7 linked regions of the Macaca fascicularis genome follow. The protein of the gene in region 7 interacts with the protein of the main gene of each other region in a pairwise test. Links are inferred from orthologs where the notes say so. Each region holds a gene or a part of one and is shown on either strand. Other genes may lie near its edges.

Region 1 (4,196 bases), on a different chromosome or scaffold from region 7:
ATAGGGTCAATTCACATGAAGTTTAAAGATCAAATACATGTGATTTCATGCCTGTGGAGGCCCCTTTGGGCTATCTCCTGACTTTCCTAACATATCCATCTACTCTGTTTGGATACTATGGACACCCGAAGAAATGTTTGACAAACACCTCCTTATTCCTTTCTCTCTCCTTATTCCTTTCTCTCTGCCCCTAAATATCTTTTCTAGGTCATTTAAATGCCTTTTTCTGTTTGTTTGTTTTTTGAGACAGAGTCTCGCTCTGTCACCCAGGCTGGAGTGCAGTGGCGGGATCCTAGCTCACAGCAAGCTCCGCCTCCCGGGTTCTCACCATTCTCCTGCCTCAGCCTCCCGAGTAGCTGGGACTACAGGTGCCCGCCACCACACCCAGCTAATTTTTTTTTGTATTTTTAGTAGAGATGGGTTTCACTATGTTGGCCAGGATGGTCTCAATCTCTTGACCTCGTGACCCGCCTGCCTCGGCCTCCCAAGGTACTGGGATTACAGGCATGAGCCACCACGTCCAGCCTTAAGTGTGTTTTTTATGGCTCTCTCAGTTTGCACTTTTCAGCCTTCTTTCAAAATGATCTCTTACCCTAGAAACTTCTCTGTTCTCAAACTAGTTGTCAAAGCCTCTACCTTTAAAATTCTCTCCTCTACAATTTTCTTAAGTAATATGCAGTGTTGGCGGGGAAGTATTACACGGACCCGTAAAACACAAATTGCTGTCTAATATTTTCATCCCTGTCCTCCATTGATTCTAGTCATCCACCTTAAGGCTTCCAAGGCATGGAATGCTCCATCATTTGAAGATTCTTCTTTAAATGAAGAGGGAAACACAGTCCACTGTGGCCTCTTAATGCAACTTCTTCCTCAAACCAATCCGTGTTTCTCCCTAGAAATGGCAGGTGGACCAGGACATGAGTATGTTTACGGGCCTGCAGGATTATGTGACACAAAAGAATGTCATTGGATGGATCAACACCTCAATTAATGAGGGCAGATACTTGGGCTGGACTGTGTAGCCTCTTTGAAGGCCTACCACAGAACTCTGATTTCATGGGTGGACTGTCTGCGGAGGAGTCCTGACTTAGCAAGAAGCCCAAGTAAAGAATTTTATGGGACAAGGGACTCTTCTGAGGAAGGCAAATAACAGACTGAAGGAAAGGGCGTTTGAAAAGAAGTGAAGAAATAAAAAGAAAAAAGACATTACATACTGTGTCCACACCCTCTGCAGTGGGATATAAATGCTCCCTAGAGGAAGGAGACCCACAGCTCTGTGGCTTGGAGAATTTAGACTCTGTCTTCAGCCAGGCACTCACTCCCTCCCTCCCAGCACCATGCCCTACAACTTCTGCCTGCCCAGCCTGAGCTGCCGCACCAGCTGCTCCTCCCGGCCCTGCGTGCCCCCCAGCTGCCACGGCTGCACCCTACCCGGGGCCTGCAACATCCCTGCCAATGTGAGCAACTGCAACTGGTTCTGCGAGGGCTCCTTCAATGGCAGCGAGAAGGAGACCATGCAGTTCCTGAACGACCGTCTGGCCAGCTACCTGGAGAAGGTGCGTCAGCTGGAGCGGGACAACGCGGAGCTGGAGAGCCTCATCCGGGAGCGGTCCCAGCAGCAGGAGCCCTTGCTGTGCCCCAGCTACCAGTCCTACTTCAAGACCATCGAGGAGCTTCAGCAGAAGGTGAGGGGCATTGCTGTCATCTCCAAGCAAGAGAGTTTGCAGTGATTCTGTCTGTGATAGAGAAGTGTGTTTCTTGCTTCTGTGCTGTCATAATTCTTGCTTCCTCTTTTATTTCAAAATGTCTTTTTAAGTCATTTTTAAAAAGTTGATGATGTCATATTTATTTTCAGTCCTCACTAAGCCACCTCTCACTCCCCAGATCCTGTGTACCAAGTCCGAGAATGCCAGGCTTGTGGTGCAGATCGACAACGCCAAGCTGGCTGCGGATGATTTCAGAACCAAGTGAGTTGTTCGGAATTTGCACTAGTGTCCATTTCTTCTGTTTAATCTTTAGTTACAGAAAAGGGATTTCCATGGCTGTACTGAAAAACAGATCTACCCACTTGCTGTGAAGGATTCTGCAGAGGATTGGGGAGAACCAAGCAAAGAAATCACAAAAATAGATGAGGACTCACATCAATCTGTTTGTTTTGGGATGAATATTGGGTATTGATGGAGCCTCCAGAAACCTCTGTCTCCTGGGCCTATTCATTACAGAAAGTGGAAAGATAAGGCACATGAGGTTATCAAAAATCATTCCTGTGAGTGTTGAAGATCTACCAAGTAGTGCTCTGACCCGCTCCTTGTGCAGGTACCAGACTGAGCTGTCCCTGCGGCAGCTGGTGGAGTCGGACATCAATGGTCTGCGTAGGATCCTGGATGAGCTGACCCTGTGCAAGTCCGACCTGGAGGCCCAGGTGGAGTCCCTGAAGGAGGAGCTGCTGTGCCTCAAGAGCAATCACGAGCAGGTGAGACTAGAAATCAGAAATGCACAAACCTGTCTCAGCCTCTGACTCAGGGTAGCTTTAGTGATTAGGGGCAGCAGAATGCAGAGTATGAGTACAAGGCTGAGGGTTTCCTTTAAAAACATCACGGCAAGAGAAAAATTGGAGAGAGATAAGACCTGTTCATGTTCCCAGACAGGAAACATCTTTCACTTTAAACTAGCACATTCTTTGAGTTGCCCAGAGCAGCTCCATGTGCTTGAAATTGGTCAATAGTTATAGAATGAGTCCTAGCATTGCAGTGTTACTGCTTTGCAAAGTCTTTTTTTTTTTTGCCAAAGACCAAGAAAAAAAATCAAACCTTATAAATGTGAGTCTCTACTCTTTCAAAGTATTGGCGAATAGTGTTTGTGAGCTTCTTCCTCTCTCTCCTGGGAGGGGCCATGATATGCTCTTATCTCTTACTTGACAACAAGAGTTTTTTGATATACGGTCTGAAATTGCACAGCCAATTTTATTTTTTTTTTGTATGCTGAGGTCCTCACAGCCAGTTGTAAACTGGGAAAGTTGAACCTCAATTAGTCCATCCTTCAGTGGCATCCAAGCAAACTTTTGGGATTTTTTTCTGAAGCCAAGTGCCATGGCACAGCAGATGGTGGGGAGGGGGCTATGCCACATGGAGTGCCTTGAGCTGTCACAGACTGCTCCACTCAAAGTTTCTGTTCTGAGAGAACAGACTAACAGGGCTTCAACAAGCAATGCCATTCCTTAGAGTCCATTCTTTGCTGAGCATAGTAACTCTTGTATTTTCTGCATCCATAGGAGGTCAACACCCTGCGCTGCCAGCTTGGAGACCGTCTCAACGTGGAGGTAGATGCTGCCCCCACTGTGGACCTGAACCGGGTGCTAAATGAGACCAGGAGTCAGTATGAGGCCCTGGTGGAAACCAACCGCAGGGAAGTGGAGCAATGGTTCACCACGCAGGTGGGCATCTAAGCACGTGGCCACTCAGGACCCAAGGCCCACCCTATGGCCCCAGAGGCAGGGTCTGATCCTTTCTCCCCTTGGGTGTTTCAGACCGAGGAGCTGAACAAGCAGGTGGTATCCAGCTCGGAGCAGCTGCAGTCCTACCAGGCAGAGATCATCGAGCTGAGACGAACGGTCAATGCCCTGGAGATTGAGCTGCAGGCCCAGCATAACCTGGTGTGTATTGTTCTGACCTGCTGGTGAGCAATGGGAAATTGGAAGGCAGAGTCCTGGGGATGCCCTTGGGGCCACACACTCTCCTTAGCTCTTGGAGCTTGTGACTTCCTTGGAATCCTATGAAGAAACCCTTTGAAGGAGCAGCTCTCTGACATTCCGGATCTTCCCCACCACAGCGAGACTCTCTTGAAAACACACTGACTGAGAGCGAGGCCCGCTACAGCTCCCAGCTGTCCCAGGTGCAGAGCCTGATCACCAATGTGGAGTCGCAGCTGGCGGAGATCCGCTGTGACCTGGAGCGGCAGAACCAGGAGTACCAGGTGCTGCTGGATGTGCGTGCCCGGCTAGAGTGTGAGATCAACACGTACCGGAGCCTCCTGGAGAGCGAGGACTGCAAGTGAGTACATGGGCAGATGTATTTGATGAAGCGGTGCACGTGTGAGTGTAATACTCAGACACAATGCAAAGATTGCATACCTTGGAAAGGAAATTATGCCTTCACACTAGACATGCTCAAACAGAACTCAGACAATATAATATGGCC
Region 2 (3,730 bases), on a different chromosome or scaffold from region 7:
CTATCCTTCTACACATAAAACAGGTATGGCCATACACCATTGGTGGACATATATATAAGTCTATGTACACACACACACACACACACACACACACACACACACACACACACACACACACACAGTATTTTGGGGGAAAGTTTCATAATCTTTTAAAATGAGATATATCCATATCCTTTGATCCAGCATTTGCCATGCAGTGAGGCATGATTACACCACTGCACTCCAGCTTGGGTGACAGAGTGAGACCCTGTCTCCAAAAAAAAACCAATTAAAAAAAAACATATACAAGAATATGTATTGCAGTACAGTTTGCTAGGCCAAAAAGAAAAAATGAGAAAAGAAACAAACCAAATGTCTTATAAGAAGGTAATTAATAAAATTATGATGTAACTACATAATAAAATATGCTGCTACTGAAAAGAATAAGGTGATTGAAAGGAAAATGTTCAAGATATATGGTAAGAAGAAAGTTTTTAAACAATCATCACTTATGATTTTAAGTTGCCACAATTGTACTGTGTCAAAAATGATGACGACAATGTATTTATGTATATATAGGAAGAAAAAACTGGTAAAATATGCACCTAAGGATAGTGATTATCCCTGGAGGATGAGATTAGAGAAGATTTCCTTTCTGTTATATATTTCTGTAATGCCTGGAAGTTTTCCTATCATGAATATATTGTTTTTCTAATTACCAAAATACTTTTAAGACTTAAACCATTACAAAAAAACAAGACTACAAATGTAAGAAAATGAAGTACTTACGGTTATCATAAATTGGGTTCGAGACAACAGGAGGAAGAGCAGTCGTCAAATTACCATGTTCATCAGGGAGGAAAACTTGAAAACATAATCTCACCACATTGAGGTCACAATCTTCAATATCATTCAGCTGTTTTTCAGGGACTGAATAGTAAAAAAAAAAAAAAATTTTAAGAATGTAATAGTCACATAGACCTAAAGTCCTGCTAGGTCCTCCTCCCTGCCCATTATAGCCAATAACCTTGAATAGAATCCAAATCTGTACGAATACAAATAGGATAGTATACAAAGAATGCCTTGTATCATTCTTATCAAGTAGTCACTATCAAACAGTATTTAATAAATTATAGCCATGTTCAGGAAGTAACTATCTCCTCACCTGGGGATAATCCCAAGTTGACATTAATACCAAATCAAAGTTTTAAAAAAAAGTTGCAAGTTTGTACACAACAAAGAATGGCATTTACCCATTCATTCAACAAACATGTATTTGGTCCAGGTGTTGTATTAAGGACTCTGTAAATTATCTCCTAAATCTGTAAAAGAATTACTTTCATCCTCATTTTACAAATGAGGAACTGAGTTTAATTAGCTTTTTTGAGATGGGGGTCTCACTCTGTTTCCCAGGCTGGAGTGCAATGATGCGATTTTGCCTCACCCCAACCTCTGCCTCCCAGGCTCAAGTGATCTTCCCATCTCAGCCTCCCGAGTAGCTGGGACTACAGGCACATGCCACCACGCCCAGCTAATTTTTCTATTTTTTTGTAGAGATGGGGTTTCGCTATGTTGCCCAAGGTGGTCACGAACTCCCAGGCTGAAGTGATCCACCCACCTTGGCCTCCCAAAGTATTGAGTTTACAGGCGTAAGCCACTGAGCCTGGCCTGGAACTGATTTTAAAGAGAGGAATTACTTGCCCAAAGTTTCACAGTGGCAAAGTGGAAATGTGAACTCAAGTCATTAAATTTAGAGCCTATGCTTTTAAAAATTGAACTCTATTAGAAAATTGTACATATGTTATACATAAAAATGACATAAACAAGAATATCTACTAAAATGTGGATCAACATTTTAAGGATGAAATACCAAGAAACAAACAAAGTAAGATAGCTAGTTTCCATAAGAAATTTTATGTGTAAATTAGCTTTGCTTAAAAATTTTTTTAATTAAAAATTTTACAGTTCTATAAAACTAGAAAAGCTCATGACAGAATATAGTATAATAGTTTGTTAAATTAATATTTGAACCAGAAATCCAGTCCCAAAAGAAAATATTGCCTTTTCAAATGCCATAAGCTAAAGCACTAAGTTATATTTTTAAAAAGCATGACATGCACATTATTTACACAACAATTTTACTTTGCAAAGTATTAAATTTTGAAACACTAAATTTAGAAACACAGTTAAGCCCAAATTCCTTATTTTACAGGCAATAACTAATAAAAATGATAATGTATTTTGTACTGTTTTTATTTAATGACACTGACAGCCTACGTAGCTATCACAATATTTAGAAGTATCCCAGTATTAGCATTCTTAGCCTAACCTTTGAAAGAGTGCATTAAAAAAATCTGTACTCTGTACAACTGAAAGGTCAAAATGTTATGATACCAACGCTTGGGTTACAGCAGCATACTCTACTGGCACTATTGTGTAGGCGATACGAGCGCTACCTCTTCAAAACCCATTTTTATAGCATTATAAATGTAGCGTTCAAGATATTAGTGTCTATCAATTGCAAAGATGAGTAATCAATATGCAAAAAAGATAAATTTGTAGCTAGATGTTCCTGATAAGTTTAAAAACAAACCTATGTGAACTCTGTCAATGGATAAACCAACTGTGGTATAGTCCTACAATGGAATAAACTCAGCAATAAGAGAGAACAAACTGGCCAGGCGTGGTGGCTCACGCCTGTATTCCCAGTACTTTGGGAGGCCGAGGTGGGCGGATCATGAGGTCAGGAGATCGAGAACATCCTGGCTACCACGGTGAAATCCCGCCTCTACTAAAAATACAAAAAATTAGCCGGGCATGGGGGCGGGCGCCTATAATCCCAGCTACTCAGGAGGGTGAGGCAGGAGAATGGTGAACCCGGGAGACAGAGTTTGTAGTGAGCCAAGATCGTGCCACTGCACTCCAGCCAGGGGGACAGAGCGATACTCCATCTCAAAAAAAAAGAAAAAGAAAAAAAGAACTATGGGGGGTATATACTCCCAAATGAATGTATCTCAAAACCATGCTGAGCAAAAGAAACCAGATACAAAAGTATACTGTATGCTTCCATTTATATGCAGTTTTAGAAAAGATTAATCTCCAGTGACAGAAGGCAGATTAGTAATTGAGGCAGAGGCAGGGTAGAAAAATGAACGAGAAGGGGACCACGGAAATTTTAGGGGGTAATGGAGATGTTCCACATCTTGATTGTGGTGGTGGTTATGTGGCAGGATATATTCTGGTAGATTTTATTGCATCTCAATAAAAATTTATTTTAAATATTTTTAGGCCGGGCGCGGTGGCTCAAGCCTGTAATCCCAGCACTTTGGGAGGCCGAGACGGGCGGATCACGAGGTCAGGAGATCGAGACCATCCTGGCTAACACGGTGAAACCCCGTCTCTACTAAAAATACAAAAAATTAGCCGGGCGAGGTGGCGGGCGCCTGTAGTCCCAACTACTCGGGAGGCTGAGGCAGGAGAATGGCGTGAACCCGGGAGGCGGAGCTTGCAGTGAGCTGAGATCCGGCCATTGCACTCCAGCCTGGGCGGCAGAGCGAGACTCCGTCTCAAAAAAAAAAAAATTAAAAATTAAAAATAAATAAATAAATAAATATTTTTAAATGTTACATAAAAGAAAAATAAATAAACTGGTCAATAAGCCAAAGTTTAAAAACATTTAGTCACATAATAGCTCTACTACAGGGAAGAAATTTTACCTACCTCTCAGAAAAAATCACTATTTATGAGATTT
Region 3 (4,484 bases), on a different chromosome or scaffold from region 7:
ACGGCATAAGCTGGTCACCCCACACCCAGACCTGACCCAAACCCAGCTCCCTTGCTTGCTGGCCACGTAACCTGAGAAGGGACTCCCCTCTTCCCTGAACTCCAGCCCACCCCAATACTCCAGGCCTCCTGGGATACCCCGAAGAGTGAGTTTGCCAAGCAGTCACCCCACAGTGGGAGGAGAATCCACCTGAAAGCCGGCCTGGCGGACTGGGCTGGGGCGACCTCTCGCCGGGTCCAGGCCAACTAGGTGGCCTGGGGCCTCTGGGGGATGCAGGGGAAGGGGGCTCAGTCTGAAGAGCAGAGCCAGGAACCCCTGTAGGGAAAGTGCAGGAGAGCCAGGGGCATGGGATGGTGACGAGGAAGGGGGACAGGGAACCTGAGCGCCTCTCCTGGGCTTGCCAAGGACTGAAACCCAGGGGCCCGGAGCAGGGCCTTAGGGAAGAGGGGCCCCGGGACCCCGCTCCGGGCGGAGGAGTATGTCCCAGATAGCACTGGGCCTCTTTAAGGAAAGAAGGATGGAGAAAGAGAAGGGGGTAGAGGCGGCCACGACCTGGTGAACACCTAGGACGAACCATTCTCACAAAGGGAGTTTTCCACACGGACACGCCCTCCTCGCCACAGCCCTGCCAGGGCGGGGCGGCTACTGGCCTTATCTCACAGGGAAAACTGATGCACAGAGGAACAGTACAAATTCGGTGCTAGAAAGGTGAAGACCCAAAATTAGAACTCAGGACCAACTTATTCTGATTTTGTTTTTCCAAACTGCTTCTCCTCTTGGGAAGCGTAAGGAAGCAGCAGCACCCGGCTCAGTGAAATGCACCAGACGGCCGCGCCAGAGCAGCTCAGGCTCTGGGAGAGGGCAGCGCAGGGCGGCCACTGAGAACCAGCAGGTCGCGCATCCCCCTTACCTCCCACCCCCCGCCAAGCTCTCCCTCCCAGGATCCTCTCTGGCTCCATCAGTAAGCAAACCCTAGGGGTTCTGGCGGGGAGAGAGAGGTGGCTCCAGGAAATGGGGGTGTGTCACCAGATAAGGAATGTGCTTAAAAGGAGGTGGGGGTCAGGCCCAATATCTGGAGACTAGGAGGGAGGAGGCCTAAGGATGGGGCTTTCTGTCACCAGTCCTGTCCCTAGTGGCCCCACGGTGGGGTGGAGGGGACAGATAAAAGTACCCAGAACCAGAGCCATATTAATCGGTCCTGGGAATATAAGGTGGTCCCGGCTCTGGGACACAAGATCTTGTCCTGAAGTGGCCATGGGGGCCCGGCTTGGAAGAAGAGGACCAGCCGAGCTCTGGGACCCCTGGAAGATGCCGTGACAGGGGCCGGAAGAGCGAGCACAGACTAGAGAGGTAAAGGGGGTATGGGAGCTGCCCGAATTAAAGAAGTGAGAGGTGACCCAAATCCACAGGAGGAGGGGGTGTCCAGGCAAAGAAAGTAAGAGGATGGAGAGGTGGCTAAAGCCAGGGAGACAGGGACTTTGGGGTTGTCGGGAAAAACGGTGATGATGCAGGCCTACGAGAAGGGGAGGTGGGGACGCAAGGGAGAGGCATCCCACAGAGAAGACCATCCTAAGAAACGAGAGATGGCACAGGCCCCAGAAGGAGAGGGAAAAGGGAACCCAGCGAATGAAGATGGCATGGGGGTTGGGGTAGGGAGCAGAGATGCCCGGAGAGGACCCAGACAAGGGCAGGATCCGCTCCGAGGACACCACGTGGTGCAGCGCCGAGAAGGAAGTGCTCTGGAAAGAGCATCCTTGGGCAGCAACGCACAGCACAGAGCAAGGGGAAGAGGGATTGGAGGAAGCTGGAACCTGAAGGAGGTGGTGGGGAAGGATCTGGGCCTAGCCGTAGGGGTGGCCCAGGCCACAAGCTGCAGGCAGAAAGCGGCACAGGTTCAGGGGAGAGAATGCAGGTCAGTGAAAGCAGCACCCGCCAGGAAAGGGGAAACAGCGGGCCAGAGGCGGCGCAGAAGCCAGTAGAGCTCAAAGTGGTCCGGACTCAGGAGAGAGACGGCCGCATTAGAGGGCAGAGTAGAGGGGGCACAGCAAGGGCACTCGGCGGCGAGTGGAGGGCAGCGCAAAGTGACAATGGCCAGGGCCAGGGAGATAGACGAGAGTGAGCTATGGGAGCTGCCTCAGGTTCAGGAGAGGGCAGGGCAGGGAGAGAGACAAAGTCCAGGGCCGGCTAGAGAGGCTCAACATCGGAAGAGGGGAAGTCGAGGGAGGGATGGTAAGGGGGACTGCAGGGGTCAGCACAGGCTGGCAAAGCCAGGGCCAGTTAAAGCGACTCCAATGCGGAAGAGGGTAGATCGAAGGGGACTGGTAAGGATGCCTGGGGCAGGGTGGTAAGCACAGAGTGGCAAAGCCCAGGGCCACTTGAAGCAGCCCCAATTCGGAAGCAGGGTGGTCGAAGAGGGCTGGTAAGGGGGCGCTGGGACGGGGTGTCAGCATAGGGTGGCAAAGCCCAGGGCTAGGAACGACGGGGCGGATCGAGACTGGCAACGGCGGCTCGGAACCGGGGAAGGAGGATGCCCCAGGCGGCGCTGCGGAGGGTGGGCCTGGCCCCGGGAGACGCCGGAGGGGGCGCTGACCTGGTGCAGGGCGCTGATGCCGTCGGCGTTGGTGGAGTCCAGCACTGCGCGGGCGGGCGGCGGCGCGGCGGGGTCGAGCTCGGCGCCGGGGCCAGGGTCGGCGGCGCACAGCATCAGACGCGCTTCGTCCAGGTCGCCGCCCGCACAGGCCGCCAGGAACTCGGCGGCGCGCTCGAAGCGGACGGTGCGGGCGCGGCGCTCTCCGGGGCCAGGCTCGGCGCCCGCCCGCGCCCCCCACTGCCGCAGCTGCTCCCGTCGCCGCTCCCGGGCAGCCGCCGCCGCCGCCCCCGGGCCAGCCGCCGGGCCATCCTCTCCGGACATCGCACCGCCCGCCCGCCCAGCGAGCGAGCGAGCGAGCGCCGAGCCCCAACTGCCGCCGCCGCCCGCCCGCCCCGGGGGCCGCCGGGAACTGCCGCTGGCCCCCCCCACCGCCGCAGGGATCTCCCGGCCCCCGCCCGGCGCGCCGACGTCACGGCGCTGCCCCAGGGTGTGCTGGGCAGGTCGCGGGGAGCGCCGGGAAATGGAGTCCATAAGCGGAAGTTGCCCCTGGCCACTTTCAGGAGTCGCTGTGCCCCGATGCACACTGGGAAGTCCGCAGCTCCGAGGCGCCCAGTGGAAATCACCGAATGAGGGCCTCCTCCGGGGAATGCTGGGAAATGGAGTCTGCAGACCGGAGGGATGCCCCACGGCATACTAGGAAGCGTAGAGTACCGGGTAAAGGGGACGAAGAGCAGGCTGCCCCAGGGCAGTTAGGAAATCGACTGGACAGCCGCGTGGCAGGGAGTGCGGGGAGAGGCAGGGTTGTTTTGTTATTGTTGTTTTATTTTGTTTGTTTTGAGACGGAGTCTCGCTCTGTCTCCACTCTGGAGTTCAGTGGCGCGATATCCGCTCACTGCAACCTCCGCTTCCCAGGTTCAAGCAATTCTCCTGCCTCAGCCCCCAGAGTAGCTGGGATTACAGGCGCCCGCCACCACGCCCTGCTAATTTTTATATTTTTAGTAGAGACGGAATTTCACCATGTTGGCCAGGATGGTCTCGATCTCTTGACCTCGTGATCTGCCCGCCTCGGCCTGTAATCCTGCTGGGATGTCGGGCGTGAGCCTCCACGCCCGGCTGGGTTTTATTTATTTTGGGTTTTTTCCTGATCCCTTAACTCGAAATAAGCTCCACGAGGGCAGGGACTTTTGTCTTCTGTGCACTACTTGTCCTTGGTTCGTAGAACAGAACCTGAGAGTACGTGATCGCAAATATTTTTGGAATGAATGAATGAATGGGTTCACCAGGGCACCATGGGAAACTGAGTCCACAACCCAAAAGCCGTGAAAGACGGTCCATATCCAGGCTTCCCTGGGTGACCTCCCAGGGCATGCTGGGAAATGAAATTTGCGGTGCAAAGGTCAGGACCACGATCCTAGGGCACGCTGGGAAATGTAGCCCACAGGGCCACACCCCTAAAAACACAGCGGGTGGAAGGCATCTCGGGCTCGGGGCAGGAGAAGTCCACAGTCCCTAGTGGTAATCCCTGAACCACACGGAGGAAAGGAACCCAACAGTGACAGGGCTCCCAGAGCCTTCACTGGTCCGCGCTTCTTCTGCGCCCAACCGGACCTCCCGGGACCCGTCCAGGCCCCCGCGCGCTCTCAAGGCATGCTGGGATTGGTGGTCCCGGGCGAGGAGTTCCAGCAGGTGGGGGGCGAATCACCTTACAGCGGGCCCAAGCGATGAGCACACTTTAATCTTCACCTTGCGGATCCCGCGCCTAGCTCCAAATTGGGAAGGTGGCTGGCACTTTGAGACAGGAAGAGACCGACCAAAATCACACAGAATTGGGCCAAAATCCAGACAGGCTACAGACGGTTTCCCAAGCGCTGTGGGAGTTTCCCACCCACTCTGA
Region 4 (4,530 bases), on a different chromosome or scaffold from region 7:
TGCAAAACTAATTTCCCTCAAAATAGAGCTCAATTTCCGTTAAAGAAAGCAGCGCTTACAAATCTCAGAATTCCTGATCAACCCCCACTCCACCCCACCTCTAAGCAATAGAAAACAATTCGATCTTTCACACGGATGTTTTTGAGAAGCCACTATTCTACAGCATGACTTACAAGAAAAGAAGATAGTGAGGCTTAAGCAGGGGGACTGGAAGAGGAGGGGGAAGGTTCTGCTTTGGGGACACCTCTCAAAGATTAATCAATACTTTTTCCTAATTCAAACCAGATGTCTAGCCCAGTTTGCTGTACCCATTAATCCCACTAACAACTTCAAAGACCTGCTCATCATCCTCTGGACACCTGAGACAATGAAAATAACGGGGCGACACTGCTGGTGGTGCATTTGGGGCCCCGGGCGGAATAGGTGACTACAGATATTCTCCTGATGCGACAGGTCCCAGATGGGACTTGACTGTTTCTCCTGCTCATTACAGAGCCACTCACTTGTGTGTAAACGACTCTGCCCCCAGCGGACCCTGTCACCCGCCAAACAAGTGGCAGTCTCAAAGCCCTGCCATCGTTCTTGCATGCTTACTGGAGGCAAATTTTCTAATTTATTTTCACGGATGCAAAGTTATAGCCAAGTGCCCAAGCTTAGTGAATTTTGGGAGCTATCGAAATGTAAGATTTCTCAGTAAATGGGACGGTGGTGATAAGGGATGCGATTAGCGGATTTATTTTTGAGGGGAAGAGAGTGGATTTCTGTAGGAAACTGCGGAGACCTAGGCTAGCTCCTGAGGGGAAAGGCTAGATATGTGCGTGCAATCTACACATCTCATGTGACCGGGACAAAATCGCCTGGAAATATTTTTGACCCAGGAAAATTTCTTCTTGGTGGACAAGTGGCTAGGAAATTGAGCGGGACCAGGAAAGAGGGGGAAGGGAGACTCCACCTGGCATCGCACAAGAGGATGCCAGGGAACAGGCATCTGCAACCCTTTCAGACTCACGCCTTCCTCCCACCCACCCTACCGGGTCCCTCTTGGTTCCGCACTGAGAACTGCCTTTTCCAGGCCATGGTACTCATCCCCACAACCTCAGATCTGGCGTCCCAGCCCATTAACAATCCACCCACAGAAACCAGCTGTGAAAACCTAGGCGCGCTGCGGCGCCCAGGGCACTGGAAGATGCGAAGTTTGAAAAACTTCGAGGATGCGCCTAACTAGCTCTGATCTTTTCGTTTAACCCTATTACTTCTTTTGGGTTCCTGAAAGGCTAGGCATATCCCTAGCTTTTCTGCAGGTGACAGTTCACAAATGACACTGACAAATCACGATTCCCGGAGAGGAAAGTGAGTAGGTAGGAATCAGGGTGCTGGGTTGGGGGTGGTGTGCGCCGCGCCCAGGCCTCCAGAGTCTGGAGGGCAGAGCTGCTGCCCTCCCGGGCGGGACTTAGGCACTGGCGTGCCGCTTGTAGCCCTGGCAGCCGGCAGTGCTGGGCGGGCGTGGACGCTCTGCGTCTGTCCAGCAGGCGATAGGAAGTGGAACTGGGGAGCGCGTGGCGCAAACTGAGCGGGAGTTTTGGAGGGAGTTTGCATGTGGTCAACTCTGGGCTCCTAAGCCGGCCCCCAGCTCACGTTACACTCTATTTATAACCTCTCAGAGCCATTTCCCCCTGAAAGCAGTTCTCTGGGACCACCTTCTTTTGGCTTCAACCTCTCCCACTCTTGACATCTGAGTAGTTCAGGGAAGCTCTTCCAGGTCCGACTGTTCATATGCAAAGGAGACTGGTCGCTGGGGCTCAGAACCGGGATTATCCGAGCTCTGCAGAAGTGCACGGCTATTGCTTTGGGAGGGTAAAAAAAAATCATACGGTTTCCAGTGAAAAGTGACAGAGGGTGGTGACCTTTGGAACCGTCCTGAAGTCTTCTGCCTGGAACCTGAAACTTGCATGCTATGGAACACCCGCTCTTTGGCTGCCTGCGCAGCCCTCACGCCACGGCGCAAGGCTTGCACCCGTTCTCCCAATCTTCTCTCGCCCTCCATGGAAGATCTGACCATATGTCTTACCCCGAGCTCTCTACTTCTTCCTCATCTTGCATAATCGCGGGATACCCCAACGAAGAAGGCATGTTTGCCAGCCAGCATCACAGGGGGCACCACCACCACCACCACCACCACCATCACCATCATCAGCAGCAGCAGCACCAGGCTCTGCAAACCAACTGGCACCTCCCGCAGATGTCTTCCCCACCGAGTGCGGCTCGACACAGCCTCTGCCTCCAGCCCGACTCCGGAGGGCCCCCAGAGTTGGGGAGCAGCCCTCCGGTCCTGTGTTCCAACTCTTCCAGCTTGGGCTCCAGCACCCCGACTGGGGCCGCGTGCGCGCCGGGGGACTACGGCCGCCAGGCACTGTCACCTGCGGAGGCGGAGAAGCGAAGCGGTGGCAAGAGGAAAAGCGACAGCTCAGGTAAGGGCGCACCAGGCACCCTCGAGAGTGCGCGCCGGCCTGGAAAGGGGGCGGAGAGATGCCAGGGGAGATTCTCGCACTACAGGGTGGCAGCGGGGAATATGGGAATGTGTTGCCCTTTGTGGCTTCCCGCGGCCAAATTCGGCGGTGAAGCTTTGGTCCTGATATTTGGGGGACACGTGTTTATCCGAGAGCAATGCATATACAGCCAGCAGCTCTAAGCTCTCCAAGGTCCTAAACTAGTTTACCAGAAGGTTGATAAAAAAGGACAAGTGGCTGTGAAATCGATTGCGAAGCGTGACCTTCCATCCCAGCGCTGGGGAGGGAGGGGCGTGCGCCCAGAGATGCAGCGTCGGTTGGGCAGGCGTGCGTGCGGGTGCCGCTTCTTGACTTTTCTCTTGCAAGTTCCCGACTGTGAGTGGCTCGATTTTTCCCATCGTTAACTGGATTTCCAAATCATTGCACAATATTTGGAACTTGCAGTGGAACTTGGCAGAGCGCATGAGAAAAAAAAAAGTTTTAGTTTTTTTTTTTTTTTTTCTAACATTCTTATTTCAGCGTTCTTTAAATAGCACCCTATTTCAAATGGTAAAATTTTCCCTTTATTGGGGAAAAAGACATTATCTAGGAATTCAGATTTTAAGGAATGTGTCAGAGAATTGTAAATAAATAGATGCTCACATTGGAAGAAAGACGAACCTTAATAGTACATGTTCATGTGGTGTAAGCTAATTACAGAATCAACGTTTCAAAAGTGGAAAACAAATCCCTCTACCAAGTGGGTATTAGTAGAGACAAATACAGCGAAGCAACAGTAGCTCGGGTAGTGTTAGTTAGCTACGTGCCTGAAGGTGGTATGTAAGGGTGCGCGCAGGAGGCGCTGATTTTAGTGGGGGATAATTTGAGCAGCCACGGAAAAGGGAAACCTTTCTGACCTCTGGTACTTGAAGACACACTTGCCGAGTAACTTTTCTGTAGCAATCCAGAGAAACTCAAAGTTTTCCAGACCACTTTTCAAAGCTCTTACCTACCTGTATTATCATAAAATTGTTAAAAGATACTTTAAAATTAAGAGACTTGTGAGTTTTCTTTCGTGGCTATAGTGCAACCTGGATTGCATATTTTTGGAAGATATCATTTGTTTAATATAACATTTGCATATTTTTCTTCCTCTGCGGAATTGGGTTAATAATAGTCCTAGAAGGTAATCCCATATGTTGGTTTGAAGTATTGGACAAATGTTTATCGTGTATAAAGCTTTAGGTAAGATGCCACCTAAATGAAAATGATTGACCGCATATTTAATATTCCTTCACCCTTCACAGCAATATCAATTGTTATTCAGCAATCCTATGGGATGGATTCTTCTGTCATGGTCTCAAAAGCTAACTTTTATTTTCCAAGGTCAGGGGGTGAACTTTTAATGTTCTGTCACAAATTAGTTTTTATAAGAAAATTACCAGTAGTGTCACTGATATTTAATGTACTTTCCTAACTATAAGTGAAAGTCTCTTTAGATAGTGAGTTGAATGGTTAATCATAGCAAGAAGGTTTCAATTTGTATTAGAAAAACAGTCAATTTTAGAATGCAGTGACAATTTCATAAACCGAACATTTGATATCAGTGTCACTTTGGAAGCAGATCCCAGTTCAGGTTGATGAGAGTACTCTTGCAATTCCCGTAAGCTCTTACTGTTCATTTTATTTTTTGCAATGAGTAACCTACATGACAGATTGTCCTTTATGCTTCCTGAACTGAGCCATTGCTCTTAAGTTTCTTAGGGCAAACTGAATTTTCATACAAGCACATGTTATTTTGTTTGGGGGAAACCAAGAAAGTGGAATTCAGTAACTGATTCCCTTAATTTATTTTAATAATTTTTTTAAAGTGGAATAATTTAACAAAACGTGTTTATCTCTCCTCCTAACTTAGTGGGAAATAACCATTTAACAAAATTAAGTTCATTTCTACATGTTGAAGCTGATAATGAGGGTACTGGAAAAACAAGCCAATATAAGTGTTTGTGTCAGCTGCATAAATTATTAACAGATTAAAACTTGA
Region 5 (3,730 bases), on a different chromosome or scaffold from region 7:
TGTATTTTTAGTAAAGATGGGGTTTCACCATGTTGGCCAAGCTGGTCTCGAACTCCTGACCTCAGGTGATCCGCCCACCTCAGCCTCCTAAAGTGCTGGGATTACAGGTGTGAGCCACTGCGCCCGGCGTTTTTGACTTTAGAGACAGGTTCTTGCTTTGTCACCTAGGCTAGATTGCAATGGTACAATCACAGTTCACTGCAGCCTCAAACATCTGGGCTCAAGTGATGTTCCCACCTCAGCCTGCCAAGTAGCTGGGACCATGGGTGTGTACCACCATGCCTGGCTTATTTTTAAATTTTTTGTCAAGACAAGGTCTTGCCATGTTGCCCAGGCTGGTCTTGAACTCCTGGCCTCAAGCAATCTTCCTGCCTTGGTCTCCCAAAGTACCGGGATTACAGGTGTAAACCACTGCACCTGGCTGCAGCAGGATCTACGATCACAAGCCTATCACAGCAGAGTTCCAGGCTGAGCTTGGGTCAGGGGTTTGGAGGACCCTCAGTTTTCACGTGCTATTGCCTGATTCTGATTGTGGGGCAGCAGCAGGGGGAGTCTCAGGGACCCTACACTCTGAGGATTTCATGGGAAGTAACACTGTGACAAGTCTAAGTAACAAGGCTTAGACTTTTTTTTTTTTGAGATGGAGTCTTGCTCTGTCACCCAGGCTGGAGTGCAGTGGCACAGTCTTGGCTCACTGCAACCTCCTCCTCCTAGGTTCAAGCAATTCTCCTGCCTCGGCCTCCTGATTAGCTAGGATTACAGGCTGCGCACGCCCGACTAATTTTGTATTTTTAGTGGAGATGGGGTTTCACCATGTTGGTCAGGCTGGTCTCGAACTCACAGATCCTCCCGCCTCAGCCTCCCAAAATGCTGGGATTACAGGTGTGAGCCACTGTGCCCAGCTTTTCTTTTTTTTGTTTTAAGAGATAGGTCTCACTCTGGAGTGCATGGCTCACTGCAGCCTTGACCTCCTGGGCTCAAGCAATCCTTCCACCTCAGCATCTCAAGTAGCTACGACCACAGGCATACATCAACACACAGCTGGCTAATTTTTTATTTTTCATAGACAGGCCAGGCTGGTCTCAAACTCCTGAGCTCAGGCAATCCTACTGCCTCAGACTCCCAAAATGCTGGGATTATGGGCGTGCGCTACCATGCCCAGCCAAGGCTTAGACATTTTAGAATGAGGATCCTGATTGATTTCAGTTCTACCAGAGTCATGACCCCACTATGCTGCTGATGAAGACTGGGGACAAAGGTGTTGAATAGTACAGGAAATAGGAATCTTACCAGGGTCATGCTGAGTGTACGGCCCATGACAGCATGGAACAGGTCATGTGCAGCCGGGCCAGACACAACAAAAAATTCACAGATGAAAAGGTATTCGCGGCAGGAATTGTCTAGGAGGGCGTAGTGCTGGCTGCGGAAGAGGGCCTCAAATGGATACTGGGAGAGGAGAAGTAAAGAAGAAACACAGAAGGGATGGACCCCAACACTGACTTCCCATGGATATGGCTGCAAAATCAGTAAACCTGGGTAATAAGAGCTGGGCAGACCCTTGGCATCCATCTAGGTCCAGGCTGTCAAAGAGCAAGCTGAATGGGCACTGAAAAGGTGGGGGAACATAGGGGTACAAAAAGGGCCTACACCCACCTGCTGTTGCTACTCCTGCATCCACCTCAACACCTGCCTCTGACCGTCATTCCCCTCATCCAGTCTCTCCCCTCTGCATGCCCTTAAGTCAATGGTTCCCAGCTCTTTTCACATCACAGCAGGCTGGAGTGATTGGAGAAGGCCACTCCCAAGTCTAAGGGGATCGAGACAGGGCCTGCAGGTTGGGAAGCTCTGCCCTGAGGTCTGGCCTTCCCTCCCTCCATGCTCAGAGTCTCTTTCATGACTGAAGCTTGTTCCTCCTCATACCCTCTGCTCTCCACGCTGGGCTGTGTGAGGCACCAGGATGGGGGCCTCAAGTTCAGTGGGGGAGATGACAGAGCCACGGGTTCCTAGGGTGAAAATGGTGTTCCTGCTGCGGAGTGATGGCTTTGAGAAGAATCGTAAGATGGGTCAGAGTCAGGGAAAACAATGAGACCATAACTGGGCCCAAAGACTCACTATCTGCAGGGACCCCAGACAGCGAGACATGGCCTAGTCAGCCCTCTTTCCCAGTACTAGGGCCCCACGTGATGACATCTGTGAACGGACTTCAGGGTGTCTCCCCACCTCCTGCAATCATATGCAAAACTATGTGTCAAAATGACGCATCTTTCTTAGGAGGGAGGCTATAGCTTTCATCACATTCTAAAAGGTTTCAGTCCCATAGGAAAAGGTAAGGAACAGTGCCTTGGTGGCTGCAGCCGAAAGTCCTCCCACTCTCAAGACCTGGCATGAGGGTTCCCCAGGACTAGGATATCTTTCTTCGCTGTATCTTCCACGCCCATTAGATCATCTTTCTCAGCAACTTCCTCATACTAAGAAAACAGAAAAGAGAACTGATAACCGTCTCTTCCGACAACACAATAAAATATTCCTTGCCCAGGGATGTCCCCTCCTCCCAGTCCACGTGCCCAGGAATGCCTCTCCCTCCTGACCTTACCTGCACCTTCATGAGCCGCCCCAGGTAAGAGCGGTAGTAAGACAGGTAGATCTTGCTCAGCGTCTCCACGTATTCATCCCTGATTTCCTTTGCTGTTGCTCGTTCATTGCCCAGCAGAAACTGATAGAAGAACCTAGGAGGTCAGGAACATGTCAGTCTACCTGTCTCCCAGGAAACCAGATGCCATTAGGCTGCTCAAAAGCTCAAAGGCCATCCCATGCACTTCCTTGGGGTTGTGACCTGTACTTCAGCAGGGCCGTCTGGGGGATCTGATAGTTGGTCATTGGTTTCCTGAAGGAATAAATCTTCTGGAGGATAAACTCTCGGATCTTCATCACTGCCTAGATGTGGGGAACCAAGCACAGAGCATGAAGCTGCAACCTTTTTGCTGTATGAGAGGAATTGGGGGAAGCAACAAATGGTAAACATAGATTGAAAAGTGGTGCATATCTCTTTGGTATTTCTCAAGATTTTCAAGGAAACCCAGAGAGGCAAGAATGGGGCTGCCCAGAAAAGGCAGGGTGAAGTTCTTGGAGACAGGCTACAGTGAGCTCTGCCAAGAAAATCCATAGTGAAGATCTTGGGAGGGCTGCTTCTAGTAGCCTCCAGGGTATCCATCCCTACTTCCCACCTTGACCCGGAGCCGATCGAGCACGCCTCTGACATCCGCGCAGGCTGCTGTGCCTCTAGCTTCCTGCTCTCTGACTGCAGCTGCCTTGGCATCCAGCTCCTGTAGCTGCTCCAAGAACCTGGGCTCTGTCACTGGAGCCTCCAGAATTGCCCTGGGTAGCAGGAAGGGGTGGGATAAGTTACAAGGGAAACCCAGACATCCCTAAACCAGACCCAGACCACACTCCTTACCTCCAGCTCCTATCATCTCTACCACCTTGCACTGTACCATATAGTCAGGACACATGTACAAAGTTTTCTATTCCTGGACCTTCCCACTATACACCTGATCTTACATCATTCTTTTTTTTTTTTTTTTTTTTTTTGAGACGGAGTCTCGCTCTGTCACCCAGGCTGGAGTGCAGTGGCCGGATCTCAGCTCACTGCAAGCTCCGCCTCCCGGGTTCACGCCATTCTCCTGCCTCAGCCTCCCGAGTAGCTGGGACTACAGGCGCCTGCCACCTCGCC
Region 6 (4,164 bases), on a different chromosome or scaffold from region 7:
ACAAAATTGAGATTCCCCTTTCTACTTGGAGGGAATCCAGGATCCTTCCAGGAACATTTCTGGGGTGGGCACACTTCAGTTTGGAGAGGGCCCCAAGGCCAAACGGGGGTTTGAGCGTAGCCTGACTTCCTCCAGATTCCCAGGCCCGGCGTGCCCCTCCAGAGTAGGGCAGGTGAAAATCTGTATCCTTAAACCTTAAACCAGGAGAGAGACCTGGTGCAAACCTCAGCCTTGCCACTTCCTCAACGCTACGGACATCCCCGAGGAAATAACCTCTCTGGGCTTAAGTTTCTTCTTCTTTTTTTTTTTTTTTGTTTTTTTTCGGACACCGAGTCTCTCTCTGTTACCCAGGCTGGAGTGTGGTGGTTCGATTTCTGCTCACTGCAACCTCCGCCTCCCGGGTTCAAGCAAGTTTCCTGCCTCAGCCACCCAAGTAGCTGGGATTACAGGCGTCTGCCACCACACCCGGCTAATTTTGTATTTTTAGTAGAGACGGGGTTTCGCCATGTTGGCCAGGCTGGTCTCGAACTCCTGACCTCAAGTGATCCACCCGCCTCAGCCTCCCAAAGTGCTGGGGTTACAGGCGTGAGCCACCGGTGGCACCCGGCCTGGGATTAAATTTCTTTAAGTGTAAAAGGACTAAATAGTTCCTTCCCCTTAGATACCACAGCATGGCAAGCTCTTCAGAAACGCCAGGAGATTTCTGAAAGAAGCACCTGGGAGAATCTGACTGATGCTGGGAACCCTTTCTCCAAAACTGGGCAAAGAGAGATGACCAGGCTGCAAAATGTTTGTTTTGGGGGTTGGGGGGACGGCGAGTCTGTGCCCTAACTCCAATTGTCTTTTATCCAAGGGGGGACTTGGGGGGATTGGGTAGGAGGGAGGGGCTCTGAAGCCACACAGCTGAGTCTTTGGGCAAATTATTTAACTTATTTTGTGCCTCAGTTTTGTCCTCCACAGAATGCAGCTGTTTAAAAAAAATGAATTCCCTATTTGTCAAGTATTAGGTCAGAGTCTAGCATACATTATTTTCCCAATCTCCCCTCCAGGCCTCAGCCTTGCCATCTGCGCAGAAGAAATGGGGTGGGGGGCTCACCTTCTCGGGACGCAGGGACCCTCGGCCCCCCAGCTCACCTGTGATACTGAGCTTGCAGTAGCTGAAATTCGTCTTTGATGCGGTCGCAGGAGTCCGAGGTGGTGAATTTGAGTTGCTGGGGTAGGTGCGAAGAGCCCTGTGGGGAAGGGGCGGCCCGGGTCAGGCCCTGGCTTGGGCTGGACCCCCCTCGAGGGCCAGCCGGGAGGGAGCGGCCGCGCAGCTGCGGCGCCCCCCCTCCTGCCCCACTTCCTGGGCCCGTGTTTACGGCCCCTGGCGCGGCCCCCACCCGCGCTTCCTGCCCCCCGCCTCTCCCGGGGGAAGCCGAGAGGGTGGGTGCGCCCGGAGCCGCCCCGACCCCCGCCACCTCCAAGCAGTGGGGGTGCGTTTTAAGGCCTGCCCTAGATGGGGGGCAGGGTGCGCCCTCTACCGCCCCTCCAAAGCGCCGGGAGGGAGTGCACATCCGAGGGGGGTGGATACGCACCCTAGGGAGCCCCCTCCCCAAGTTGGGGGGCAGCGAGTCCTCCCAGCAAAGCCCTCTTGGGGGAGGGGTCTCTCGGCGCCCGAAATCTTCCCGGGGGGCCCACCCCAGATTCCCAGCGCCCTTCCTCGGGGACGCGCTCTTCCGGGAGGGGTGCGCCTCGGATCGCCCCCCCACCACAGGCCCCCAAAGGATCCCCGCGCTAGAGGTGCCTGGCGGGGCTCCCGGAGCGCCCCAGGCCCGAGGCCAAGGCCGTCCGAGGCCCTGCCTGTCCCGGCGAGGGGGGGGGGCGCCAAGCCGGGAGCTGGGACGGGGGGGCTCGGGGCCCGGAAGCTGGGGTGGATCGGGAACTGGGGGGTGTCCGGGGGCCGGCGGCAGGAGGGGGGTCGCGCCGGGCTTGGAGCTGGAGAGGGAAGACAGGGCCGGGGAGTTGGGGGGGGTGCCGGGCCGGAGGCACCGGGCCTGGGGGTGGGGGGCGCGGGGCCGGGAGCCGGGGGTGGGGAGCGCAGGGCCGGGATCCGGGGTGGGGGCGCCTGCCGGACGGACCCCGCTTACCGAATGCCTGCTTTGTGGAAACATCATGTCAGTCGCGGCAGGGGGCGCGGGCTGCGCCCCGGCTGTGCGCCCCGGCTCGGGCTGCTGGGGGCGCCGGGCGGCCGCGCCTTTGTCCCGGCGCCGATCGGCAGCTCCCGGGGCCGCCGCCGCCTCCCGCGCCGGGCCTCGCCCGCTTCCTGCGCCCCCTCCCCGCGCGCCCGGCCCCGGCGCGCCCCGGGCCCCGCTTCCTGCGCGCCCGGCGCCCCTCCCCGCCCCTCCCCGCCGCCCGCCTCCCCGCTCCCCGGCCCCACCGCTATTGTCTAATGGCGGCGACGCCGGCAGTGGCCGCGGCTCGGCTGATGCAGAGGCTCCGGCTCCACCTGCCGCCGCCGCCCGTGCCCCGTGCGCGCCGCCGAGGGGGGGGAGGCGCGCGCCCGGGGAGGCCTGCGGATCCCCACCCCGGCCCGCCTCCCCAGGGCCCGCCCGCCGCGGTGACCTTGGGCCCCGCCCGCCCCCGCCCCGGGCCGCGGCCCCCGCCACCCCCCCCAACCCGGCAGCAGGCCGGGCCTCGGTTTCCCCATCTGTCAAAGAAAAGGGACCCGGCTGCCCGCGTCGAAGCCGCCAGCCCTGCCGTGGCACGACCTGGACGCGTGCCACGGACGTGCTCTGTGACCTTGGCTCTGGCTGGGCGGTGGTTCTCGCTGAGCCTCAGTTTCCTTTTCTGCAGAAAGGCAGCGGTAATGCCGCCTTTCTCAGGGAAGCCATTCTTGCGACACATTTATAGAACGCCTACTGTGTGCCAGGGCCTGCTGCTCCAGGGCCCTGTGGTGGGGGCGGGGGTGGGGGGTCCCTGCTCTGGTGGTGGTGCCTGGAGACAGACAGAGACAAATTAACAAGCTGAATTCCCAGCAGGTCAGATGGTGGGGACGGTTCTGCAGAAAAACCAGCCGGGAGGATGGCAGGGTAGGAAGATGCAAAGTTAAACAGGTGGCAGGGAGGATCAGAGAGAGCTTCCTCCGCCCCTAAAACGACCCAAAGAAGGAGAGAGAACAGGGGGATGGGGTACAGAGGTACTCAGAGGCAGGACCAGCAGGTGTAAAGGCCCTGGGGCAGGACTGTGCCTGGCATCAGGGTGCCAGGGCGGAGGTCAGGAAGGCCGGAGGGAGGCAGGGCCTGGGGCTTCATGCATTTGCCCAGGCCCCCCCACTCCTCAGCAGGGCTTGTGCTTGGGTTAATATTTAGTGCTGCATTTTGAGATTCCTAATCATTTTTGAACAAGGGGCCTTTCAGTTTTCTTTTGCACTGGGCCCTGCTAACTCTGTAGCTGGTGAAGCAGGCCAGTCCAGCAAGGACTTGTGGGCCATGGGGAGGACTTGGGTTTTTGGGTGAGTGAAGTGGGAGCCCTGGAAGGCTGTGGGAGGAGGAGGGATGGGACCTGGTGGTTTGTTTTTTGTTTGCTTTTGAGACGGAGTTTCACTCTTGTTGCCCAGGCTGGAATGCAATGGCACGATCCCAGCTCGCTACATCCTCTGCCTCCCGTGTTCAAGTGATTCTCCTGCCTCAGCCTCCCGAGTAGCTGGGATTACAGGCACGTGCTACCACGCCCGGCTAATTTTGTATTTTTAGTAGAGACGAGAGTTCTCCATGTCGGTCAGGCTGGTCTTGAACTCCCGACCTCAGGTGATCCACCTGCCTCGGCCTCCCAAAGTGCTGGGATTACAGGCGTGAGCCACCTTGCCCAGCTGTTTGTTTTTGAGATGGAGTCTCACTCTGTTGCCCAGGCTGGAATGCAGTGACGTGATCTTGCCTCACTGCAACCTCCGCCTCCCGGGTTCAAGTGATTCTCCTGCCTCAACCTCTCGTGTAGCTGGGATTACAGGTGCGTACCACCATGCCTGGCTAATTTTTGTATGTTTAGTAGAGATGGGTTTCACTATATTGGCCAGGCTGATCTTGAAATCCTGACGTTGGGTGATCCTCCCGCCTCTACCTCCCAGAGTGCAGGGATTACAAGTGTGAGCCACCGCACCTGGCTTTAGACTTGTGCTTTTGCTCT
Region 7 (4,289 bases):
AGAGGTCTCACTGCCCCAGATGGTAAGTGAGGAAGGTTGAGATACCTCCAAATGCCACGCTTTCAAGGAGAAAAACACCTTCTGGACTGATACTAGCTACATATAAAACACCTCGTTTTAAAATCCTTCCACCAGGAAAGAGCACTATGGAGCTGCTTACAGCCTTTCCCCTAGCTTGTCCAGGACGATGTCACCAGCAGCCAGCTGCTTGCGCCTCAGCCGCTCTTTTAAGTCTGGGAAGGCCCGAAGCGCCGGCACATCCTCGAACCGCAGGTTCTGTGCGGCCTGCAGCTGCTCCGCCAGGTTGCTGAGGGAAGACAGGAGGGGCTGGCAGTCCTGCAGGGCACTCTGCCACAGGCCCTGCTGCTCCTCCACCACCAGGAAGCACTTCTTCAGGGCCTCCTGCACGGCAAGCAGAGGCCGGTCTTGAGTCATCTTCTGCTGAAAAAGATAAAAATAGAAAATAACCACGTTGGGGTGGCAAGTCAGTCCGGGAGGCACTGGGTCGAGGGTGGGCGTCATTTCCGTCCTCGTGTTCACACAGGAGTTGTCTCACCTCCAGAAGTGGTTTTTTTTGTTTTTGTTTTTTTCGACACGGAATTTCACTCTGTCGCCCAGGCTGGAGTGCAGTAGCGCTATCTCGGCTCACTCCAACCTCTGCATCCCAGGTTCAAGCAATTCTCCTGTCTCAGCCTCCCGAGTAGCTGGGAATACAGGTGCCCGCCACCACGCCCGGCTAATTTTTGTATTTTTAGTAGAGACAGGGTTTCGCCATGTTGGCCAGGCTGGTCTTGAACTCCTGACCTCAGGTTTTCCGCCCGTCTCGGTATCCCAAAGTGCTGGGATTACAGGCGTGAGCCACCAGCCCCGGCCCTGCCTCAGCTTTCTGAAGGAGATCCTGGCTTCCCCTTGGGAAGGGTAACCTGGATAGGGCAGTCTCCTGCTTCAGAGGATTCCCGGCGGCCAATCGCCGTCTCTTCTCTGACCTACAGTCCTGTCTCCCCTGCCCGAGGCTGCCGGTCGCGTTCCTGAAACCAGCGGAAAAACTTAAAAGTCAAGACACCCAAAGCGTGAGCACCACGCGCCCATAGTCTCTCTGCGCATGCTCACAGGCGACCGCCCCCAAAGCTCCTCCGCAGGCCTGCAAGGCTATTGAGTCGCGAAAATATATCATAGTACCGAAATTACTTCTGGGTACTGTAGTCCAACATGTGGATTGGCCACTCGGCTTGAAGCTTCCTTGGGACTGGATGTTGGGACCGTCCAAACACGGCGACTTCTCATTTGTCAGCCTGCGGCAGTTTAAATTGGGTGGCAGTGGTGGCATGTCCTCTTAACTGTGGAGTCTTTTCCTCTCAGCTTGCGCCTTCGGCTGTGCCTTAATGACACTTTTGACATTGTGTATCACAACCAACTGGCAAAAACTAGTGAATCACGGGCTCCTGACGTGGCAGCTCTCGCTGAGATGCAGGTGGACATCCTAGGTGCCCAGGGAGGTCGGGCACATTGGGGAGTCGGGTGAAGGAAACCCTGAAACCGAGAGGCTGGAAGCCCAATTTGCCCATCATAAAAACACCTGCTGCGGGAAAGCCTACATGAGGTACGGGTTGTCGTCCCCTCTCATCTTGGCCATCTAACTGATGGAGATCCTTAGGCACCCAGCAGACTCGGGTGTCACCCCCACCACCCACTGCCCAGGGCTGACCTTGGGCGGAAGAGCGACATTCAAATATTTTTTGTATATGGAGCAACAAACCAGGGTGGAAGAGAGAGAGAAAGGACTTTCTAGGAAGGGCCAGGCTTGCCAGGGTTTCTATGCTTGGACTGCTCTGTCCCCAAGCTCGCTGGTGCCCATCAGGAGCCTGCTTGGCACCTTTGCTTATTTCTTTGATTGTTCCTGAACTCAGAGGGGGAGAGGCAAGATTATCACTCCCATAGCCTATAACATGCACGCTTAAACACAAACAACCCCTCTGACATGGCTTCATTCCGCATCCACAGGTGAAAAGCACCAAATCCAAACAATCAGGCCACAAACCTGTCAAGAGCTCGCCGGTCTGGCCGTCCAGTCGTCGCCCGCCTTGAGACTCAGCCTGAGCTACAGCTTCGAAACTAGCCTCTAGCCTTGCTGGGTCTCAGCACAACCCTTGAGCAATCCAACCCTGTGGCTGTGGGCAGATGCAAAGATGCACAGTTAGCACTTCCGACAGGACTGCGGCTCAGCGGGGTTCGAGGTCTACACGCCCATTCCCAGGCCCACGGCCAGAACACCCAGAGCTGCCTCCTGCCCTGGGCTCCCTGGAGTGTGGTGGCCGCGGCTCACGCTGCAGTCACCGCGTGGGCAGCTGCCAAGCGCCACTACTCGCACCTGAAGTCGCGGCCCCGCGCTGCACACCCAGTCGAGGCGCCAAGACGCGAACTGGACGGGAGTGGCCGGCCCGCGGGCAAGCGAGGAACAAGAGGGTTCTCCCCACTCGCTGCCCAAACTGGCCACGGGCTGGCGCGCCCACCCCAAAGCCTGCACCCCGGCCCCGCTCCCCTGTCATTCCGCCTCGACCCCTTCCAAACCCTGTCGGGGCTGCTCTGTCTCCGCCGACCCTCCACTTGCCCCAAGTTCGGCCTGGGGAGCTTGGGGCCCTGAGGAGCGCCGACGTAGGCAGCCAACCAGTCAATCAGTCAGAGTGTCACGGCGGCCCCTCGGCTACTCAGTGGCAGCCAGGCCTGGAAGAAGCAGCCGCCGGCCCCGGAGCAGAATCCTACAGCCGACCTGACCTAGTCCGCTCCTAGCCCTTCAAAGATTGGGGTAATGAGGACCCGCCGCAAGGCCTGCCGGGAGTCGCAGTTTGTATAGTTTGCAGCCGGCCAGGGCGGAGCCGGGTGGGTTGGTGGGGAGGGCGGGGAAACAAGCCTGGACCACAACTCCCAGGAGCACCCGCGACGGCGGCGCCCGCGCTGACGCACTCCGGCTATAGGGAGCGCATTGGGCGGGAGACCCCGGGCAGGTAGGAACTTGCTTGTGATTGGATACTGTGGGACGGCGGTTTCTCATTCGTCAGCCTGTGGCTGTGGAGTTTGAATTAGGTGGCGGTTGACGGTAGAGCCGCTCTCTCTCACTGGCATAGCGAGGTTTTACTCAGTCCTTGTCGCGAGACCGGAGGTACGTGCCTGGCGACTTATTCGGGTGGTCCCCATCCGCCCTCCTGGTCCCTACCTGGTTCCTTGCCTCCCTGCCCCATCTCCGCCGCTCCCCGCAGCCTCCGCCGAGCGCCATGGCTCCTAGGAAGGGCAGTAGTCGGGTGGCCAAGATCAACTCCTTACGGAGGCGGAAGCTCGCCTCCTTTCTGAAAGACTTCGACCGTGAAGGTAAAGGGGCCAGGCCGTCGCGGCCTCCTGGGGCGGTCGCGGGATGCTGGCGGGTGGGGACACGAGCTGCACACATTCACCCGCCCCGTGACCCGTGTCCTGTCGGCTCTGCCCTCCCGCAGTGGAAATACGAATCAAGCAAATTGAGTCAGACAGGCAGAACCTCCTCAAGGAGGTGGATAACCTCTACAACATCGAGATCCTGCGGCTCCCCAAGGCGCTGCGCCAGATGAACTGGCTTGACTACTTCGGTAAGAGCTGGAGAGCTTCCCTGGGCGGAGGCCGGGAGCCCCGTGGGGTTAGGTAACACCCTTCAGAAAGGACTCGCTCAGATGTCACCTTTTAATGAAATCTGACATGACCACTTATGGAAAATTGCAGACCCTTTCACTCTCTGTCTCACTTCCGTAAGTCATGTGTCTCCATCCTTTTCTCTAAAGGCCTAGGTAGCAAATATTTTAGGCTACTTGAGCCGGTGGGAGGGGTCTCTGTCGGACAACTTAGCTCTGCTGTTACAGGTCCAAAACAGCTATAGTGAATGGGCATGGATGGGCTGTATTCCAATAAAATTTTAGTTGTGGATACACTGAAATGTGAATTTCACATAATTTTCACACATCAGGAATTTTATTTTATTTTTTTGGAACAGAGTCTCACTCTGTCACCCAGGCTGGAGTGCAGTGCAGTGGTGCGATCTTGGCTCACTGCAACCTCCACCTTCTGTATTCAAGTGATTCTCCTGCCTCAGCCTCCGGAGTAGCTGGGATTACGGTCTCCTGCCACTATGCCCTGCTGATTTTTGTATTTTCAGTAGAGACGAGGCTTCACCATGTTGGCCAGGCTGGTCTCGCACTACTGACCTCAAGTGATCTGCATGCCTCAGCCTCCCAAAGTGCTGGGATTACAGGAGTCAGCCACTGTGCCCA

Evidence for each region.
Region 1: the proteins of AIRIM (region 7) and keratin, type I cuticular Ha1 interact in binary tests that used the Homo sapiens proteins (3 or more experiments, as listed by UniProt). The two-hybrid records come from large-scale screens. The link is inferred for Macaca fascicularis from reciprocal best matches to the Homo sapiens genes AIRIM and KRT31.
Region 2: the proteins of AIRIM (region 7) and REL interact in binary tests that used the Homo sapiens proteins (3 or more experiments, as listed by UniProt). The two-hybrid records come from large-scale screens. The link is inferred for Macaca fascicularis from reciprocal best matches to the Homo sapiens genes AIRIM and REL.
Region 3: the proteins of AIRIM (region 7) and PPP1R12C interact in binary tests that used the Homo sapiens proteins (3 or more experiments, as listed by UniProt). The two-hybrid records come from large-scale screens. The link is inferred for Macaca fascicularis from reciprocal best matches to the Homo sapiens genes AIRIM and PPP1R12C.
Region 4: the proteins of AIRIM (region 7) and MEOX2 interact in binary tests that used the Homo sapiens proteins (3 or more experiments, as listed by UniProt). The two-hybrid records come from large-scale screens. The link is inferred for Macaca fascicularis from reciprocal best matches to the Homo sapiens genes AIRIM and MEOX2.
Region 5: the proteins of AIRIM (region 7) and VPS52 interact in binary tests that used the Homo sapiens proteins (3 or more experiments, as listed by UniProt). The two-hybrid records come from large-scale screens. The link is inferred for Macaca fascicularis from reciprocal best matches to the Homo sapiens genes AIRIM and VPS52.
Region 6: the proteins of AIRIM (region 7) and TLE5 interact in binary tests that used the Homo sapiens proteins (3 or more experiments, as listed by UniProt). The two-hybrid records come from large-scale screens. The link is inferred for Macaca fascicularis from reciprocal best matches to the Homo sapiens genes AIRIM and TLE5.

Annotation. Positions count from the first base shown.
Region 1 is NC_088390.1:62,443,275-62,447,470, reverse strand, and holds the start of keratin, type I cuticular Ha1, read left to right. Parts: upstream 1-1,268; 5' UTR 1,269-1,337; coding exon 1,338-1,685; intron 1,686-1,884; coding exon 1,885-1,967; intron 1,968-2,316; coding exon 2,317-2,473; intron 2,474-3,271; coding exon 3,272-3,433; intron 3,434-3,526; coding exon 3,527-3,652; intron 3,653-3,828; coding exon 3,829-4,049; intron 4,050-4,196.
Region 2 is NC_088387.1:61,054,492-61,058,221, forward strand, and holds part of REL (proto-oncogene c-Rel), read right to left. Parts: intron 910-3,730; coding exon 769-909; intron 1-768. UniProt on the Homo sapiens protein: Proto-oncogene that may play a role in differentiation and lymphopoiesis.
Region 3 is NC_088393.1:62,991,025-62,995,508, forward strand, and holds the start of PPP1R12C (protein phosphatase 1 regulatory subunit 12C), read right to left. Parts: upstream 3,005-4,484; 5' UTR 2,912-3,004; coding exon 2,591-2,911; intron 1-2,590. UniProt on the Homo sapiens protein: Regulates myosin phosphatase activity.
Region 4 is NC_088377.1:114,505,798-114,510,327, forward strand, and holds the start of MEOX2 (homeobox protein MOX-2), read left to right. Parts: upstream 1-1,675; 5' UTR 1,676-1,954; coding exon 1,955-2,468; exon of another isoform or gene 2,469-2,515; intron 2,516-4,530. UniProt on the Homo sapiens protein: Mesodermal transcription factor that plays a key role in somitogenesis and somitogenesis and limb muscle differentiation. Required during limb development for normal appendicular muscle formation and for the normal regulation of myogenic genes.
Region 5 is NC_088378.1:138,434,826-138,438,555, reverse strand, and holds part of VPS52 (vacuolar protein sorting-associated protein 52 homolog), read right to left. Parts: intron 3,376-3,730; coding exon 3,225-3,375; intron 2,935-3,224; coding exon 2,834-2,934; intron 2,727-2,833; coding exon 2,594-2,726; intron 2,469-2,593; coding exon 2,411-2,468; intron 2,055-2,410; coding exon 1,921-2,054; intron 1,808-1,920; exon of another isoform or gene 1,654-1,807; intron 1,447-1,653; coding exon 1,291-1,446; intron 1-1,290. UniProt on the Homo sapiens protein: Acts as a component of the GARP complex that is involved in retrograde transport from early and late endosomes to the trans-Golgi network (TGN).
Region 6 is NC_088393.1:3,762,961-3,767,124, forward strand, and holds the start of TLE5 (TLE family member 5), read right to left. Parts: upstream 2,900-4,164; 5' UTR 2,887-2,899; coding exon 2,659-2,886; intron 2,520-2,658; exon of another isoform or gene 2,157-2,519; coding exon of another isoform or gene 2,130-2,156; intron 1,850-2,129; exon of another isoform or gene 1,578-1,849; intron 1,233-1,577; coding exon 1,135-1,232; intron 1-1,134. UniProt on the Homo sapiens protein: Transcriptional corepressor. Acts as a dominant repressor towards other family members. Inhibits NF-kappa-B-regulated gene expression. May be required for the initiation and maintenance of the differentiated state.
Region 7 is NC_088375.1:197,229,378-197,233,666, reverse strand, and holds the start of AIRIM (AFG2-interacting ribosome maturation factor), read right to left. Parts: upstream 2,822-4,289; 5' UTR 2,609-2,821; exon of another isoform or gene 2,369-2,608; intron 2,170-2,368; exon of another isoform or gene 2,169-2,169; 5' UTR 2,039-2,168; intron 1,545-2,038; exon of another isoform or gene 1,481-1,544; 5' UTR 1,285-1,480; coding exon 1,180-1,284; intron 1,109-1,179; exon of another isoform or gene 557-1,108; intron 442-556; coding exon 161-441; intron 1-160. Other genes in the region: CDCA8 (borealin), read left to right, coding at 3,270-3,363, 3,486-3,614. UniProt on the Homo sapiens protein: Part of the 55LCC heterohexameric ATPase complex which is chromatin-associated and promotes replisome proteostasis to maintain replication fork progression and genome stability.